4 linked regions of the Oryctolagus cuniculus genome follow. The protein of the gene in region 2 interacts with the protein of the main gene of each other region in a pairwise test. Links are inferred from orthologs where the notes say so. Each region holds a gene or a part of one and is shown on either strand. Other genes may lie near its edges. The genes, in order: PTN, UBQLN4, PRPF40A and SPP1.

What was found.
Region 1: the proteins of UBQLN4 (region 2) and PTN interact in a two-hybrid assay, tested with the Homo sapiens proteins (2 studies listed by BioGRID and IntAct). The link is inferred for Oryctolagus cuniculus from reciprocal best matches to the Homo sapiens genes UBQLN4 and PTN.
Region 3: the proteins of UBQLN4 (region 2) and PRPF40A interact in a two-hybrid assay, tested with the Homo sapiens proteins (2 studies listed by BioGRID and IntAct). The link is inferred for Oryctolagus cuniculus from reciprocal best matches to the Homo sapiens genes UBQLN4 and PRPF40A.
Region 4: the proteins of UBQLN4 (region 2) and SPP1 interact in a two-hybrid assay, tested with the Homo sapiens proteins (2 studies listed by BioGRID and IntAct). The link is inferred for Oryctolagus cuniculus from reciprocal best matches to the Homo sapiens genes UBQLN4 and SPP1.

What each region holds. Positions count from the first base shown.
Region 1 is NC_091434.1:173,077,266-173,081,453, forward strand, and holds the start of PTN (pleiotrophin), read right to left. Parts: upstream 2,856-4,188; 5' UTR 2,508-2,855; intron 1-2,507.
Region 2 is NC_091438.1:42,636,646-42,640,699, reverse strand, and holds the start of UBQLN4 (ubiquilin-4), read right to left. Parts: upstream 2,833-4,054; 5' UTR 2,753-2,832; coding exon 2,645-2,752; intron 536-2,644; coding exon 384-535; intron 51-383; coding exon 1-50. Other genes in the region: ragulator complex protein LAMTOR2, read left to right, coding at 3,853-3,920. UniProt on the Homo sapiens protein: Regulator of protein degradation that mediates the proteasomal targeting of misfolded, mislocalized or accumulated proteins.
Region 3 is NC_091434.1:89,207,260-89,210,821, reverse strand, and holds part of PRPF40A (pre-mRNA-processing factor 40 homolog A), read right to left. Parts: intron 2,925-3,562; coding exon 2,816-2,924; intron 2,319-2,815; coding exon 2,254-2,318; intron 1,899-2,253; coding exon 1,734-1,898; intron 1,008-1,733; coding exon 899-1,007; intron 1-898.
Region 4 is NC_091439.1:77,729,194-77,733,359, forward strand, and holds the start of SPP1 (osteopontin), read right to left. Parts: upstream 2,860-4,166; 5' UTR 2,715-2,859; intron 1,682-2,714; 5' UTR 1,668-1,681; coding exon 1,614-1,667; intron 1,504-1,613; coding exon 1,465-1,503; intron 1-1,464. UniProt on the Homo sapiens protein: Major non-collagenous bone protein that binds tightly to hydroxyapatite. Appears to form an integral part of the mineralized matrix. Probably important to cell-matrix interaction.

The sequences.
Region 1 (4,188 bases), on a different chromosome or scaffold from region 2:
ATTCTGCCATATTAACAAGCTTGAGACCTGCAAATTAGATTCTGGATTCTGACTTCTGGTCCTCAGTCTACTTATCACTTGATTATTAACGTATTAGAGGATTATTAATGTATTACATGGTTATTAACTTATTACATGATTATTAACTTATTACATGATTCTGAAGAAGCCCGTTGCCTGGGAAGTTTTTGAGTAGCCATAAAACCACCACACTGCAACTAGGAAAATAATCGGAATTCAAGTGAGATTGTCATTTAAATGGAAAAAGAATATGTTCAAAGAGAAATAAAACATTCACACTTATTTTATTCCTAAAATTGATTTTGCTAATACAAGTGATTGTGAAACTTTAAGAATCTATTTCTCTTATATTATCTTAAACGATGACTTTTTGTGAAAATTCAGGTCATTGGCTTTACTGGAACAATGGTAATAAAAATCCCCATTTAAAAAATGCAGGTCTTGCTACAGTTTGCTTTTTGTAAAGACCACATAAGGCACATGGAAACTTGCGGTAAATTAATGTTCCTTGTACCAAACTCCATGGAAAGAAATCTAGGGTAAAAGAAAAATAGTATATGATATGCTATACTGCATATAGTTAAATATGGTTTATTATGTTCATTCCCTGTAATACAAAGTCAACAGTTAAAAAGCCCCGTGTTAGCTGCAGCTTGCTCTCTGTCGCAGCTCTGGCTTTGAGAAGGCGATGCATTTGTGTCCACAAGCAAACCACTGGGGCACAGCTCTGCAAGCAGCTGTACAACTTCATCCCAGAGAGGTTTTTCACGAAACTGAGAGGAAAAGTGTCCTGGGCTTCAAGTAGTGGGAGGGGAATGATCGCCTGTCCAAATTCAAAGTATACAGCCAGAGACCATAAAGCATGGAAGTTTCTTAAAGCACAGAAAATGGTGTTGGATGTTTTTCAAAGCAAATATAATACCTAAAAAAACTTTTAATTTAAGTAATAAAGTACAAATATTGCCACTCTAAAATAACGCATGTCCCAAAGGGAGAGAAAGGTAATATCCACTCTCTTTTCCTTTGAATTCAGCTGGTCTTTAACCGCTTTTTATGACTTAGTCTTTAAAGTGCATAATCAACTTAGAAAGGAACAGACCAAAGATGGGAGACACAAGCTTGGTTTTCAGTGTGGATCACCTTCCCTTTTGTTTCACTCCCACTACCTCTTAATAGTCCTGCAAATCAATTCATCCCCAGATGATTAAGGGGCTAACATGCACTCTGCTGTTTCATCAATTCCACATTTGAATGAGATCATGAAGTGGCTCCATTATGTTATTAGTTACAAAGCTCTTCTGGGTGGTTCCTGACTCTCCTCCCAGGCCCTTCCCTCCAACACACACACACACACACACACACAGAACCTCTTTCTCAAGCTACTGCTAACACATGCCATGACAGCTCAACTACTAAAAGAGCAAAACTACTAGAATTTGGCACTTCCCTCACATTGCTCATTTCCTCCTCTCGTGCGCCCCCAACTCCACACCTATTGTCTCAGTGTATCCCCCAATTTCACAAAGCAGCTATTAGACAGGGCTAAGGTAACAACAGAGTGTATATAAACTCTGTGTGTATTCTTGAGTGGATGTAGGTGTTGTGTTGTTAGGTACAAGGGTGTGTGTGTGCGTGTGTGTTAAGAGGAGAGGGAGTTTTATGTTCTGTACATTAAGTAAGGAAAGAATTTGGTACATTCCTCTCAAAAAATATTTTGTTAAGTTATTAGAACAGTCAATTCAGAAATTGATGGTCTAACAAAGTATACCTGGGGTAACAAACATACCCTAGCTTTCTGTGGGTAAAGGGAAAAGGGCAAGCAGGACAGTGCAGGACAGGGATCAAAGTCGGCAACCAAATGAGCAATGGGGAACCATGGTGCATCTTGGAAAGTTTGGACTTGACCATTTCTCGAAGTGTTCCTGGCTGTCAGGCAGGATTGACAGTGCCAGCTGCTCAGTGTCACCAGGCAGGGGGACAAACAAGCCCCCACACGTCACCCAGAAATGCCAGCTAAGGGTCATCCGCTGGCAAGCCCCCGGGGTACTCCGAGAAGCAGAAAAAGAATGGGAAAATGAGACCTGCTCACAAGGGCTGCCTTCCTGCCTCCTCTCTACTGAGTCACACACACACACACACCTCCCAAAGCCTCAGGTTTGACAAAGAGCAACCATGCACCCTGCAGCCCACCCTGGCAAGCTCTGTAGCAGTCAGCTGGAGCAGCCTCCAAACGCAGGCTTCCCACGACAAAGGCTTCCCTCCTTCTGCTCAGAAAAGCACACTCTCCTTAAACCTGACCTGACAGCCCTCCCAAAAACATGCCTCAGTCTGCAGTAAGTCAGTTTTGAGAGCAGTCCTATCAGCAACCACACCAGGCAGCCCCTCTCCCACTCCCAGCACCTTCATCCGCTGGCAACCAGAAAAGTGGCACAGGGTGCAAGCACACTTAAGCCCCCTGGGGGAAATCACACATTCCCTCCGCTTACTTTGAGCTGCAAATGTCCTCCCTGGCGCTCAGGCTGCCTTTGTTGGAAGGGGCGAGGTTTGCCGCTGCTGGAGTCCAGGTACCCTGCGCGCTGCTGCTCCTGCCTGGGCGGCCGCTGCTCTGCTCTTCTGTACAGACGACTCACTGGTCTCTTTCTTCCTCTCTCTCCACTTTGGATTTTCCTGTGCTCTGGGGCTCCCTTGGCGGGATTTTTGGACTGGAAGGCGGGGAACCTGATCTGCTTTTGACTCAATTACGCCCTGACAGGGAGGGAACGGAAGGGAAATGGAGAATGGGAGGGATGGGAGAGGATGCAGGCTGGGCGAGGGAGGGAGAGTGCTTTTCACCCGAGAGCTGATTGGGAAGCTTATTAAAAGCAGGCTACTCCAGGGGCAGTCTCTCCCCGTGGAGCAAGAAAACGGATTTGAACCAAGAAGCCAGGAGATGTAAGACTGTATTGTTTTTAGCAGAGAGACGGAACACAGTCTAGCTTTTGCAAACCCCATGCATGCTCGGTGCTTTCCGGGGGCGCATTCCCCAGTTTACCAAGTTAACCTATCACACACAGTGACATTTTAGGTTGCAGTTTTGGCCCCTGTCATTTTTTAAAAATAATATTCAGGATGAAAAAAACAGCTTCTTGTTCTTCCCCACCCCCAAACGCCCTCCCTACACAGAAGAACCCCAGCCAAATTCAGCTGTCAGTCCCAGCCCACCTGAGCCTCCCAAAGTGTGCAGAGTACTTTTCTCCATTGTCACAGAGTGACAGATGTCTTCAGGTTCCTAATTAAGTGCTGCTTTCCTTTAGGTTTTTTTTTTTTTTTTTTTTTTTTTTGCTTCTGTGGTGCTTTTATGAGCCTTTGTAATGATAAGCCTTTGACATCGACAAAGAATTTAGGGGATTGATCAATGGAGCTCAAATGCTAGGTTTTATAGAACTCAGAGGCTGGGCTCCTTGACTTTCAGGAATTCCATCTCATTCAATGGAAGAAAGATGCTGAGATAGTAGAATTGGGACTGCTGAAGTCATATGTAGATGAATATTTATGGCATAGATGAGATTAAAAGTGTTGTATGAAATGATTCAGACTTACAAAGCAGATTTCCACTAACATTTACAGAAGTGAATTGTGAAGTGTTCTGTCTCTTGTCACTTCTTTCCAGCTCCTTCCAATGCTCCTTTTATGTCCTTGCTATCACCATTTGGCCACAGCCCACATGCCGGCTGCACCCCCCCATTTGGTTGTGGTTTGTTTGTCCATTTCTGTGGTTCTGAGCTCACGTCCTTCTATTCAATTTGACAAATATTTGTTAAGTACCTTATTTAACTCTTTTCCATTCACTTAAAACCACCCCTGACATCCCAAAGTAGAAGCACTGTTTTGTGGCAGGTAGCTTTTCAGGGATCTGAGGCTCTTCCATCGATTGCAACAAGCAGAAGTGTCCCACGGAGGAAGGAGTCAACTGGGGGCCAAGAAGCAGCTCGGCAAGTAGAGCTTTTAATCAATCAATCATTTTTTTTTTATTTTTTTTTCCACAAGGAGGTGCATCAGAAATTCCATTAGGCACTTTCTATCTATCCCCTTAAGGAAACTCTCCAGACACAGGGCGTACACCAACCTCCAATGAAACACAGATTGCAGCTTCCCTGTTCTCACAGGAGCCCATTCTCCCCGTGAAGC
Region 2 (4,054 bases):
GGTCAGGCGTGCAGGGGGAAGACGCAGTGGCAGCGCCTGGATCTTGAGCCCTGAGGACAGAGAAGGGAGGATCCCAGCGGTACCACAAAGCTCCCCGGAGCTGGCTGAGGTGAGCTGTCACCTGCTACACCGAGCAGCCCCTGAGCAAGGTGGATGCTGGGGCCGCCGCAGCTCAGCAAACCCAGGCAAAGGAAGGAGGGAGCGGGGATCCTGTCTTCTGGCATTCTGGGAAGTCAGCGGCCCTGGTCCTGGAGGTGAGACCACATCCAGCCAGGAGCTCCCTGCCCGGGCCTGGGCTTAGGGCCTCTAGGGAGAGTTGGGCATGGCTGAGAAAGCAGCTCAAGGGGGGGCCCCAGGAGTGGGCTGCGCCCCTCCTCACTTACTTCTGAGGGGTCTTGATGACCAGATGGACAGTGAGCCCGTCCTTGATCCCGTGCTGGTTCAGCGTGTCTCCATCCTTGAGGATCTTGCCCGCGAAGATCAGGACGAGCTGCTCCTGCTGGGCCTTGAACCTCCGGGAGATCTCCTCTTTGAACTGCGAGCCAGAGCCACGGGGGCGGGGCAGGCGTTCAGCCTACTGCTTAGCTGGCTGTGGCTCCCATCCTAGCACCTGAATTCCATTCCTGGCTCTGGCTCCCAATCCCAGCTTCCCACAAATGCAGACCCGGGGAGGTGAGGCGCTGGCCCTGGCTGCCTTAAGTAATTTGATTCCTGCCACCCAGATGGGAAACCTGGATTGAATTCCTGGCTCCTGGCCTTGGCCCAATCCCAGTTGTCATGGGCATCTGGGGACGGAACTAGCAGATGGGAGTTCTATTTCTCCCCCCACCCCCGCCTCTCACCAGGAACCCTGATTCCTCATCAAGGATTTCAAAGGGAAGTCCCTTCGGCTGTCTCAACCCCACCCCTCCAGCTTCGATAAGCAGCCCCCCACCCCGTTAGTTTATTTATCTTATTTATTTGAAAGACAGAGACAGACAGCCACTGGTTCACTCCCCAAATGTCCCCAACAGTCAGGGCTGGGTCAGGCAGAAGCTGGGAGCTGGAAACTCAATCCAGGTCTCCCAGGTGGGTGGCAGGGACCCAGCCACCTGAGTTAGCACCTGCTGCTTTCCAGGGTGCACATGAGAAGGAAGTTGGAATTGGCAATGGAGCCAGGCCAGGCACTCCAAAATGGACTGTGGACATCCCAACAGGTGTCTTACCTGCTTTAAGTTTTGTTTACTTATTTGAGAGAGAGAGACAAACAGAGCAAACAGAGCTCCCAGCCACAGGTTCACCCCCCAAGTGCTTGCAATAGCAGGGGCTGGGCTAGGCTGAAGCCAGGAGCCAGAAGCTCAACCCAGGTCTCCCATGTGAGAGGTAAGGACTTGAGCTGCCGCCTGCTGCCTCCCAGGGAGCTTCTTTCTTAACCAGGAAGATAAGCCAGTCAGAGGCTCCTCTCTCAGCGCCATCCCAGTCTCCCACCCGAGGAAGCCCTCACAGCTATCTGTACCCCAGACTGAGCAACTGCCCCATCAACTCCTTCTACGGCCTGGCGCTTCTTCAGCCTTCTCCTCTCCCCGCTCCAGCGTCCCGCCTCTCCTGACTTCCAGCTCTCTCAACAACAGCAACAACAAGGTCCAGCCACTGAGCACGAACCAGGCACGAGTTAATGGTCCGGTATTTTCATTATTAACTCCGTGTTCAAGATCAGAAAACGGAAGAGCAGGGAGCTTAGGTAACATCCTGGGCAGATTGGAACTCAGGTCTTGACCAGACACTCTTGCCTCTCAATTCCAGCTGTTTTCAAAGTCAGCTTTGCAGGGACCCCTCTTCTGGAATTCAGTCATTTTATACTGCTGGGAGAGTTCAATTCTCAGTCCCTGCAAAGCCCAACCCAACCCAACGCACACTCCGAGTAGAAAAGGCGCACTTGCTAATAAGCAAAGGGAGCTTCCAAATCCCTCTCTTCCAACCAGATGGCCCATCCTGAAGCCCCGCCTATGTGAAATTCTGGAGCAACTACAGGGGGGTGGCGAACGCAGGCAAGAGTCCCTCATTCAACAAAACCTTATGGAGCACCTACTGCACACTGTGCAAATCTCAGAAGAGCTGAAAACCAAGTGTGACCACCTCGGGCTTAAAGAGCAGGAAGGATCTAGGGCAGAGAACATCCTCCACCCCACCCCGCGCCCTGCGTTCGGCGGACTCTGGGCGTTCTCCGGGCCACACAGGAGACGCGGGCGCTCTCCGCCTGCCCCCTACCCGCTCTACGGGTCCAGCACCTAGCCGGGGCCGCCACTGCGCCTCGGCGCCTCGAACCCCGGCCAGTTCCAGGGGCGCACACTCCCCTCAGCCCCAGGGTGCTTCCCGGGGGCCGGCGCAAGGTGTCCCCTTACCCACTCTTCCACCACGCCCCCAGCCCCGGCTCCAGTGCAAAGCCCGCTCCCCCCAGCACGCGCCACACTCCCCCAGACCCGCCCGCGCAGGGCGCCCCATATCCGCCTCTCCTGCCCACGCGAGTCCCCGCCGGCCCCCGCCCTCCTCCCCGGGGCCGTCCCGGACGCCAGGCAGTCACGGAGGCCCCCCGCCCCGTTTCTTCGTAGCCCCCTCCTCCGCACTCCCTCTCCGCTCCCCCCCCGCCCGCCGCTAGCCCTACTACCTCCTTGACCGAGGCTCGATCGCAGATCACAATTTCCTCCTTGTCCTTGGGGGTCTTGACGGTGACCCGAATGGGGGGCCTCGTCTCGGCCCCGCTCGGCTCCGCCATGCCGCCGCCGCCACCCGGCCGCCCGCCAGCCCGCCCGGCTCCTCCTCCTCCTCCTCCTCCCCGCCCGCCGGCCGGCCCGGCTCGGCTCGGCGCCTCCAACACTCCCCTCTCCCCTCCCCTCGCCGCGGCTCCGCCGCCCCCTCCGGACCCGCCGCAGCCACAGCGCCCCGGGCGGACTGGGGGGGCCACTGCAGCGGGGTCCGCCCAGGGCCCGGCCTGGGGTCCGGCCGCCGGGACGCGGCCTGGGTGGCGAGGGCCTCTGGGCGCGGAGGGCGTGTCCTTCACGGCGGGGGCCTGCGAGAGACCCCCGCCCGGCCCGAGCCTCGCCGCCGTGCCCTGCGACCCCGGGCCGCCCCCTCCCCTCCGCGGTTACTCCTGCTCCCGGACAAAGGACTTTCTGCGTGGCCGCTTTTTCTGTGATAACTTGGTCTTCCCTGGGCGGTGCAAGTTCCTTTCCAGGCCTGGGGCCTCGCTCCACCGGGAGTCTGAATTTTCTCCCCGCGGGACGTCCACTTAAAGCCTCCACTCAGGGAGTGACCCTGTTGCTCCCGATGCCCACGGCCTGAATGGCCTGTTCTGTACGGTGCGAGAACTGGGTGTTGCCGGCGTCACCGTTCCAGCCTCGGTTTCAAGAAAACAGAATCTCTTGCCTCATCCCACAGAATAGTGCCTAACGTAGAAAACCGCTCTGAGAAGTAACCCAGGCTGTGCCCGACAAATACGAGGATTTATTACTACTATTATCGCTTCGTGAGTAGCCAAGCGGCCATGATGACCTCTCTCCGCCAAGGGGTTAAACGTCCTCCCAACCCTGCCACATTGCCCTTCCACTCCCGCTCTTTTCCCCCACGACCGCGTGGTCTAGCTGAGGAGGCGAACTACAGTTCCCAGTGTGCCTTGCGAGACCACAGGAACTACGATTCCCAGTCCCTCCGCGGCTGAGCGGGGTGGGGCCAGAGCAGCTGTCACGGGGTCGGAAAACTACAACTCCCAGGGCGTTCCCGAGCGGGTCGCTGCACTGCCGGAAGCCGCAGGCCGCGGCTAAGCGGGACGCCGCTCGGAGGATCTGGGATTTAAAGGCTGGGTGACGAGCCGCTGGCATGCTGCGTCCCAAGGCGTTGACCCAGGTGCTAAGCCAAGCCAACACCGGAGGCGTCCAGAGCACCCTGTGAGTGCGGGCCGTGGACCCGTGCGGCGGCAGCGGAGTGGGGCGGGGAAGGGAGGCGGCCGAGGGGACCCGCAGCTGACCGAGAGCGCGCCTCTGGAAAGGGAAGCCAGCGTGCTGGGGGCTCGGGACGCCTT
Region 3 (3,562 bases), on a different chromosome or scaffold from region 2:
GAATCTGGAAAGCATATTTTTGTTTTTTATCCCTACTCCATACACTTCTTTTCCTACTACAATATATTACAGACAGAGCCTATAACTAAAGATACTGCATACGAGTCACATAATAGTAAATGTTAAGGTCCTTTAATAGTTTTAATGGCTTCTAGCTATGCTAAAAAATTTTGGGAGATATTTATCTAAGACATACAAACTCACACAGAGTTCTCATCCATTGATTCATTACCAAAATGCTGGCAATTGTTAGGCTATGCCAAAGACATGAGCCAGGAAACCAATTACTTGAGTTATCAGTGCCACCTCGTAGGGTATGCAATATCAAGAAGCTGGAATAGCAGATGGAACTGACTCCAGGTATGCCATATGTATAACGCAGCTGTCCCAAAAGTCTAAACCACTAGGCCAGAAATTTGTCCCATGTTCAAATTTTTGGTAATGCTTACATTTATGTTTCTTGAAGACTGGATAATGAAAATTTTAATAAAGCATAACAAAACAGGCATGAATAAAAGAGGTATTTCATAACTCTATCCTGTAAGTTCAGTTTAGTTGAAACAAATGCACATTACTTTATTCTTAAGAGTAGAATCAAATGCATCAGCAGAAAAAGCAGTTTTAAACTCAATGAGATAAATTATTTTTCAAAGTGGGCATAAGGCAGCTAATTATTGGCAACTTAAGTAATTTTGTGATGACTTCAATACATATGCTACAAGGAAAAGGATAAAGAGTAATATAATGACTATGCACTTCATTTTAAACCTTAGCTTCTAATAAAAAGATCAGTTACATCACACAGACAGGATAACCTAAGCAATAAAAATGGACATGGTGTAGCTCCTTATCAGAAGAAGTTTTGTCTATGAAACCAACAACTAGGAATAAACAATACCTTTTCTTTTTTTGAAAGAAAGAACAAAACATCTTCATAGATTTCAAGACGGTCACGTTCAGATATTGCATTCCAGACTTCCATCTCTCCAAACATTTGCTCTGCTTTTCTATTTATCACAAAAATAAATATTACTCTACATTATACAATAAAAATAATCTTAAAACATTTCAATTTTTAGTTAAATTTAAAATCACGAAATGATCATTCCTCTCTAAAAGTCCTAACTATACTACAAAGGATAGCTTTTGAACAGTGAAGAAAAGAATAAAACAATGTAAGCCTCCATTATCCATAGACAGAATATCTACAGTATCCTTATTCCTATGGGTAGCTAGAGACTACCAAATATCCACAGAACTAAGTTAAAATTTTATGAAGTCATAGGAAATTTAATGATCACATAAAATATATTTAAAAAATTAAGAATTCTTTACTAAGGCTTCTAAGAAAGAAAAATAAACAGGGAAAATAAGCTGAACTTACTGTAAAATTTTTAGTACTGAATTACTCATAATTTTAAATAAAAAGCAAACTACCACTGCTCAATTAAAATAGCTTATTTCTACTCCACAAATATTAAATATTTCAATTATGTAAAAGGGAATCGAGCTTTATTAAATCTAATCTTTTTTTCTTCAAGTCCCTAAGCAGTAACTCAGAGGGTCCACAAGTCAAATTTCATTTAACTACTGATTTATCTCACCAAACTGCCACACTTAATAATTATCTAATTATTCAATCAGTATTTGTTTTAGATCAGTCACTACAGCTGGCAAGAAAGTATGACAAAAGAATATAGTTAAACATAGTCTTGAATCACTAAAATCCTTACTTGTATCTGGTTGTGGAAGTCATTTTATCATGATTTTCAAGGAAACGCTGAAAGGATTCCTTAGCCTCTTTGTATTTCGATCTTGCTTCTTCTTTTTCCTCTTTTTCTGTCTGGACTTTATAGGCATTAAAAGCCTGCTTTTTTTCACTCAATTTTGCTAAAGCACTAAATATAAAAAAAACACATGAAATGAAGGCAAGAAAATACAATGTTAATACTTGGGGGGGAAAACCAACAACTTTTCTCATGCATAAATTAAGATTGTAAAAATTTATCAAAGAAATGGTACTAGAAAATAATTTCTAATTCAAAATAAGTAATTTCATAGAAAACAGGATGCTCAAATCTAATGACAAGCCTTTTAGATTTTTTTCTTTTTAATCCACAAAAGAACTTTATTCTTTATATCTTAAAACAATGAACATTAATCTGAATTAAAAACTGCACCATTCTCCACAATTTTAAATGTGCTAGGCTTGCTATGCCAAAGTGAAAAGTTTATAAAATAATGAAGTATTACCTGTATCGTGGATCATTAATGATCATTTTCATAGCTTGTTCCCATGAAGCATTGGATGGTACCCGCTGAAAACCATTTAAATGAAGAATTAAAATTTCACACTAGCACAGTAAGTCATGTAACAGGGAACCAACTACAATACTCACTGTAAACCTCAAGAATTTTCCTTTGTAGGATTTTGAAAAGTTCTAAATAATGTTTTATTGATGGGAAACCTCTGAAATCTACCTATCAACTGAAAAGAACTTGAACTCAAATTTAAACAGGGAATGAGTATTTTTTCTTTACAATTTTGATTAAAAGGTAAACAATTATAACTATAAATAAAAAACCTTGTATTAAATATTGAAGAAGAAATGTCCTGGTGTAGTTTTGTTCAAGTTTTTTTGTTCAAAGTTTCAAAATAGTGATCTTCAAAAAAATAAGACAATTTTAGTTGATTTTCAGTAAAAACAGTACATGAAATCAGTATTTTAAATAAAGGTATCAAGGTTTGCATTAAAAATAACTCATTTTATTAGGTAATTTATACACAGCATATAAAAATCTGTAACACAAATACCTTTTCCTTCAATAATTCTTTAAATGCTTGCTTTGCCTCCTCCTTTGTATTCCAAGTATATGTTTTTTTTGCTGGCTGGCTTTCCTCCTCTTCTTTTTTGGGAGTAAAACTAGAGAAATGTAAACATGTCATTGATAATTTAAACAAATACTTGCTTCAGTCAGAAATATAAATGCCTTTAGTTGTTATTTAAATAATATTTGATGTTAAATTTTGACAATTTGGGAATTAAGCCTCATATACAGATGCTAAAAACACAGGAATAAAGGCAATACAGAGTTTTCCTGAAAGTATAGTTATTAAAACCTTGTAGAAATGCCAAAATATAACATTAACTGCATTAAACACCAGCTCCACTAGTCTACAACCTAACCATTTTAAATGGTTAATTCAATGGTTTCATATTAGTGTGTTAATGACTGAGTATTTCGCATAACTGCAAAAATATAAAAAAGATATAGAGGTTAATCTAAACCAAGGTCAGCATATGCAGCATACTACACTAGCCAAAACTAGCCCACTCTGACTAGAAATATACACAGCCTTGCTCATTTGTTTATATACTGATTATGGCCAATCTGTGGGACCACAGCAGAGTTGGCATTGTTAACAAACACAAAACCCCAAATACTTACATTTGGTATTTTATCAAAAAGTTTGCCAAACACAAATCCAAAATAAAAATAATACAATCAAGAATTTTTAACTGGTTTTGGTTGGGGGTCATTCAAAGAATACATTTACCCT
Region 4 (4,166 bases), on a different chromosome or scaffold from region 2:
AGAGGAGCAAGCGGGACAGAATCCGGCACCCCAACTGGGACTAGAACCCGGGGTACCGGCGCCGCAGGGCGGAGTATTAGCCTAGTGAGCTGCAGTGCCGGCCAGGGAATGGAACCCAATTCAGCTCTCTCAAGAGTGGCAGGGATCCAATCCCTTGAGCCATCATTGCCACCTACCAGGGTCTGTATAAGCCGTTAAGTTGGAATCAGAAGCTGGGATGGGGCATTAAACTCAGGCACTCTGAGATGGAACATGGAGTCTTTACCCAGCATCTTAACCACCAGGCCAATGCGGTGCCATAGTCACATTCTGAGTGCTCAGTAGCCATGTGTGTCCAGTGGCTGTCTTATCAGACAGTACAAAATATATCAACATTGTTGCACAAGAATTCTATTTTTCTAAGCCGCCAGAGACTTATTTGTCTAGAAAATAACTATAATATGCTAGGGGAGAGAGAGCAAGAGAGAGAATTTCTCCTAGCAATGGTACATGACTTTAGTGACATAATGTCATGGCCTATGTGCCTTTCATCAATGTACCCTTGCCAGATTTTATTCTGTTTTAAAAGGCACCAGTTCTTTCCTTGAATAGTATGGCTTGTACCTTCTTTGGAGATGTTAGCTTTTCTACTTTGTTATTGTGATTCTATCTGTGTTCGCAAATCAACAGACACATGTACACACATGCACAGCCACACACACACACACACACACACACACACAGAGCACCTCTCTTCATGTCTTCATTAAGCAGTCTAATGGCCGTGACCCTAGGCAACTCTGCATTGGCCTCTATTCTATTCATCTGGAATTGAACTCTGTGTGCCTTTTTGTCCAAGCTTCTCAGAACAAGGCCCATTTGTTGTGTGGCTGGCACAGCTTCATCTATTGTGGAGGGGCAGGTACCTCTAGGGTGTTGGTCAAATCATTATAATAGTTTGGTTTGGTCTTATGCTTGGTTTGAAAAATGTGATCTAAAGTCAGCTGACGAGCACAATAGATACAAACAGCACAAGTAGACCTTCTTTGCACAATGGGCGTCCTACAAATTTCTTAGGCGATATTGTGGTCAGACAACAGTCCTGAGCCATAGCCAAGGTGAATTTCAAACATAGCTTTCCCCTAAGTAAAGCAAAGGATGGAATTTTCTGCTTCTAGAAAAGCAGGTTGACTCATGGAAAGAAAGTCACACCACTTCATGGAATTCACTTCACATGTGATTATGACCCAGATAATTATTTTATCATGTTAAAACAAGCCCAGCTTGCTTTTAAGAACACGCATTTATCAAAAACTATACTGTGCTTAGGTTGGGTCTAGATTCATAACAGAGGTCAATTAGCAGGGTTGTAAATGAATGGGCTTGACCATGAAGGTAAGTCAAATTGCAACAAAGATGTTTGGCTACTCCTGGCAATGAATACATGACCAATCTCACTAGATGACAGACTTCAAAGGTGCTTACCTGCTTTTCCTCGGAGCTGCCCGAATCAGCGTGTTTAACCTTTCAAACAGAAAAGAGGAAGCAACGTTACTGCGGGATTGTGTTCTAGCACAAGAAGGCACCCAGTTCACTTATTCCTGTGAATTTCCTGTAAGAGTAGCAGCACTCACCGGGAGGGCGTAGGCCATGCCCAAGAGACAAAAGCAAATCACAGCGATTCTCATGGTGGTGATTGTTCCTGCAAAATATTTTGTAAGAACAGCTTCATAGGTTAAAATGTAAAAATCTGCCACATTACAAAATAATCAACAATCACAAGTAAAACATTCTGTTGAATGTATTCTACTTGTTGGACTAACTCGTCTGTTTGTAACATGGTCTTTGGAATTCATGTTTGTCACTTCCATTTTCCACTTCACTGTTAGACAAGTGAGAGGGGAATTTTACAAGTCTCCATTTTATTCAGTTTTTAATTTAGAGTTCCAGAGATTATATCACCCCTACTCGATATCTAAACCTAAAAGCATTATCAACAGAAATTTAATTAAAATAATAAGCACGCATGGGAGTACCTAATATTCAGAGAAGAAAAACACAAAGGGCAAAAAAAAAATGAAAGAAATTTGCTGTCCCCATTTCTCCAGCATGCATTTAAAACACATTCTTACACCCAAATTATTAAGAAGCTGCTGCTTAGTTGAATTATAGCTATCTTTCAAGTTAGTTATTTAGGTAAGGTAGTCTAGAAGTTTGAAATGAAGAAGAAAATAGTGAAAGCATACAGGTTTTAAAAAATTTCTTGTTGACATTTTTAACAGCTAAACACAGAAGTAAAATATGCAGAAAGGATTTTTTCCTTGAAAATGAGATAGACCAAATCATTTAAAAATAGCATTATCAGTGGTTTACAATAGCACAAAAGATTATTCTTTATTTAATGCCTCCACAGTCATCCAGCCATTTAAAAGACACACACTCATTCCAAGGGGGCATAGAATTTTACTTTTTTCTGACTGGAAGCAGTTGCTTCAGGTCTTTGGAGAATTCAATAGGTATGTTTCTAAGTTTTGCATTTGGCTTTCAAAATATCTGAGCACTTTGGTTCCAGACTTGTAACATATCTGATCTGCTTATTCAACAACAACACAAAAACTGCAGTCTAACTGTTACAGCATCACAGCTTAAACTATTTTCCTTACAACTTGAACTTGCCCATGAAATTCAACTGAAAGTATGGACAGCAACACAGTCGGAGCAGGCTGCAGGCTTACCTTGGTCGGCGTGTGGCTGAGAAGGCTGCAACTGGCCCGAGATGAGTCCAGTCCCAGAGGATGCTGCGCTCTCTGCCTCCTCCTGCTGCTGACAGCCGGAGCCTCTCGGGATTTAAATGCTGCTCCAACATCCTCCAGCAACACAGGGAGGCGGAGAGATGTGTCATGAGGTTGTTTGCCACAGCCCAGCCCACCTGCTCCCACACTTCCCCTTCTGGTTTTGTGGTTAGAAACAAAAAACAAAAGAAACCAAAATTGACACACACACACACACACACACACACACGCACTTATGCACAATGTTAACTGGCTTTGCCATTTACTGGAATGGCATTCGGACTCCTGGAAGAGCACTTAGGGGTCTCCTAAAAGAAAGGGAAAGTAACTAGTTCTTACAGAGATTTTATTTATAATTTCTGAGTTAGGCGAAAAAATACGCATGTAAATCAGCCTGGAATGAAATGAAATAGAAAGGGCTTTTGTTTCCCCAAGTAATAGATGAAGGTGATATCCGCAACCACAGTTGCCGTTCTGTTTCCTGAAGAACTTGAAGGCCACTGTCGAGGCCCAGCGAGAGGAAGCGTCCCTCTGTCCCTTTCTACTCAAGCTCCGTTTTGTGACTTCAAGTCAGCAGCAGCTTGTCATTTAGATGAACGATCTTAGTGACACTGAGGTCCCTATTCATGCTCGTTCCGTTGGAAGACTTGCAGTGACCTTTCAATGACATGGATTTTTGTTGCACGGTCTGAATTGTTCAGAGGTGATGAATCTGGTAAATACGTATAAAAACCGCATCAACTAAGAGAGTGAGCGGCGATTTACGGTGGATGCTGCAGCAGTCAGGGCCGTGTCTGACCGAGAGCAGGATGACCGCCTGAGAGGGCTGCTTCAGGAGCCGCGCTGCGGCCTTGAACCCTGCTCCGTCTAGAGTTGCTGGCCTGACCTTGGACACATCACTAGGCTATCTATACCTGTATTCCTCATCTGTGAAATGCAGACCCTGTTAACCCAGCTCCTGGAACTTTTGAGAGGTTTACATGAGTCAGTATATGTACAAATAACAATGTTGGGTATGCATTAGAGGCAAACGCCCTAGTGTGTTTTTCAATTGAAAAATACAGATTTTTTATTTATCAGAGAGAGAGAGAGAGAGAGAGAGAGAGAGATCCCATTTGCTGCTTTACTCTACAAATGCCTGCAATGACCAAGACTGGGCTGAGGCTGAAGCCAGGAGCCAGGACAACAATCCAAGTTTCCCACGTGGGTGGCAGGAGCCCAGTTGCTGGAGCCCTCTCTGCTGCCTCTCGGGGTCTGCACTGATGGGAAGCTGGCATCAGGAGCCAGAGCTGGTGCTCCAGTGTCGGATGTGAGCTTGACAGCTAGACCAAGGGCCTGCCCCAGGCTATGCATATGTTAAGGGAAGATTAGATTTCTGAATTGTGTTTTTTTCCC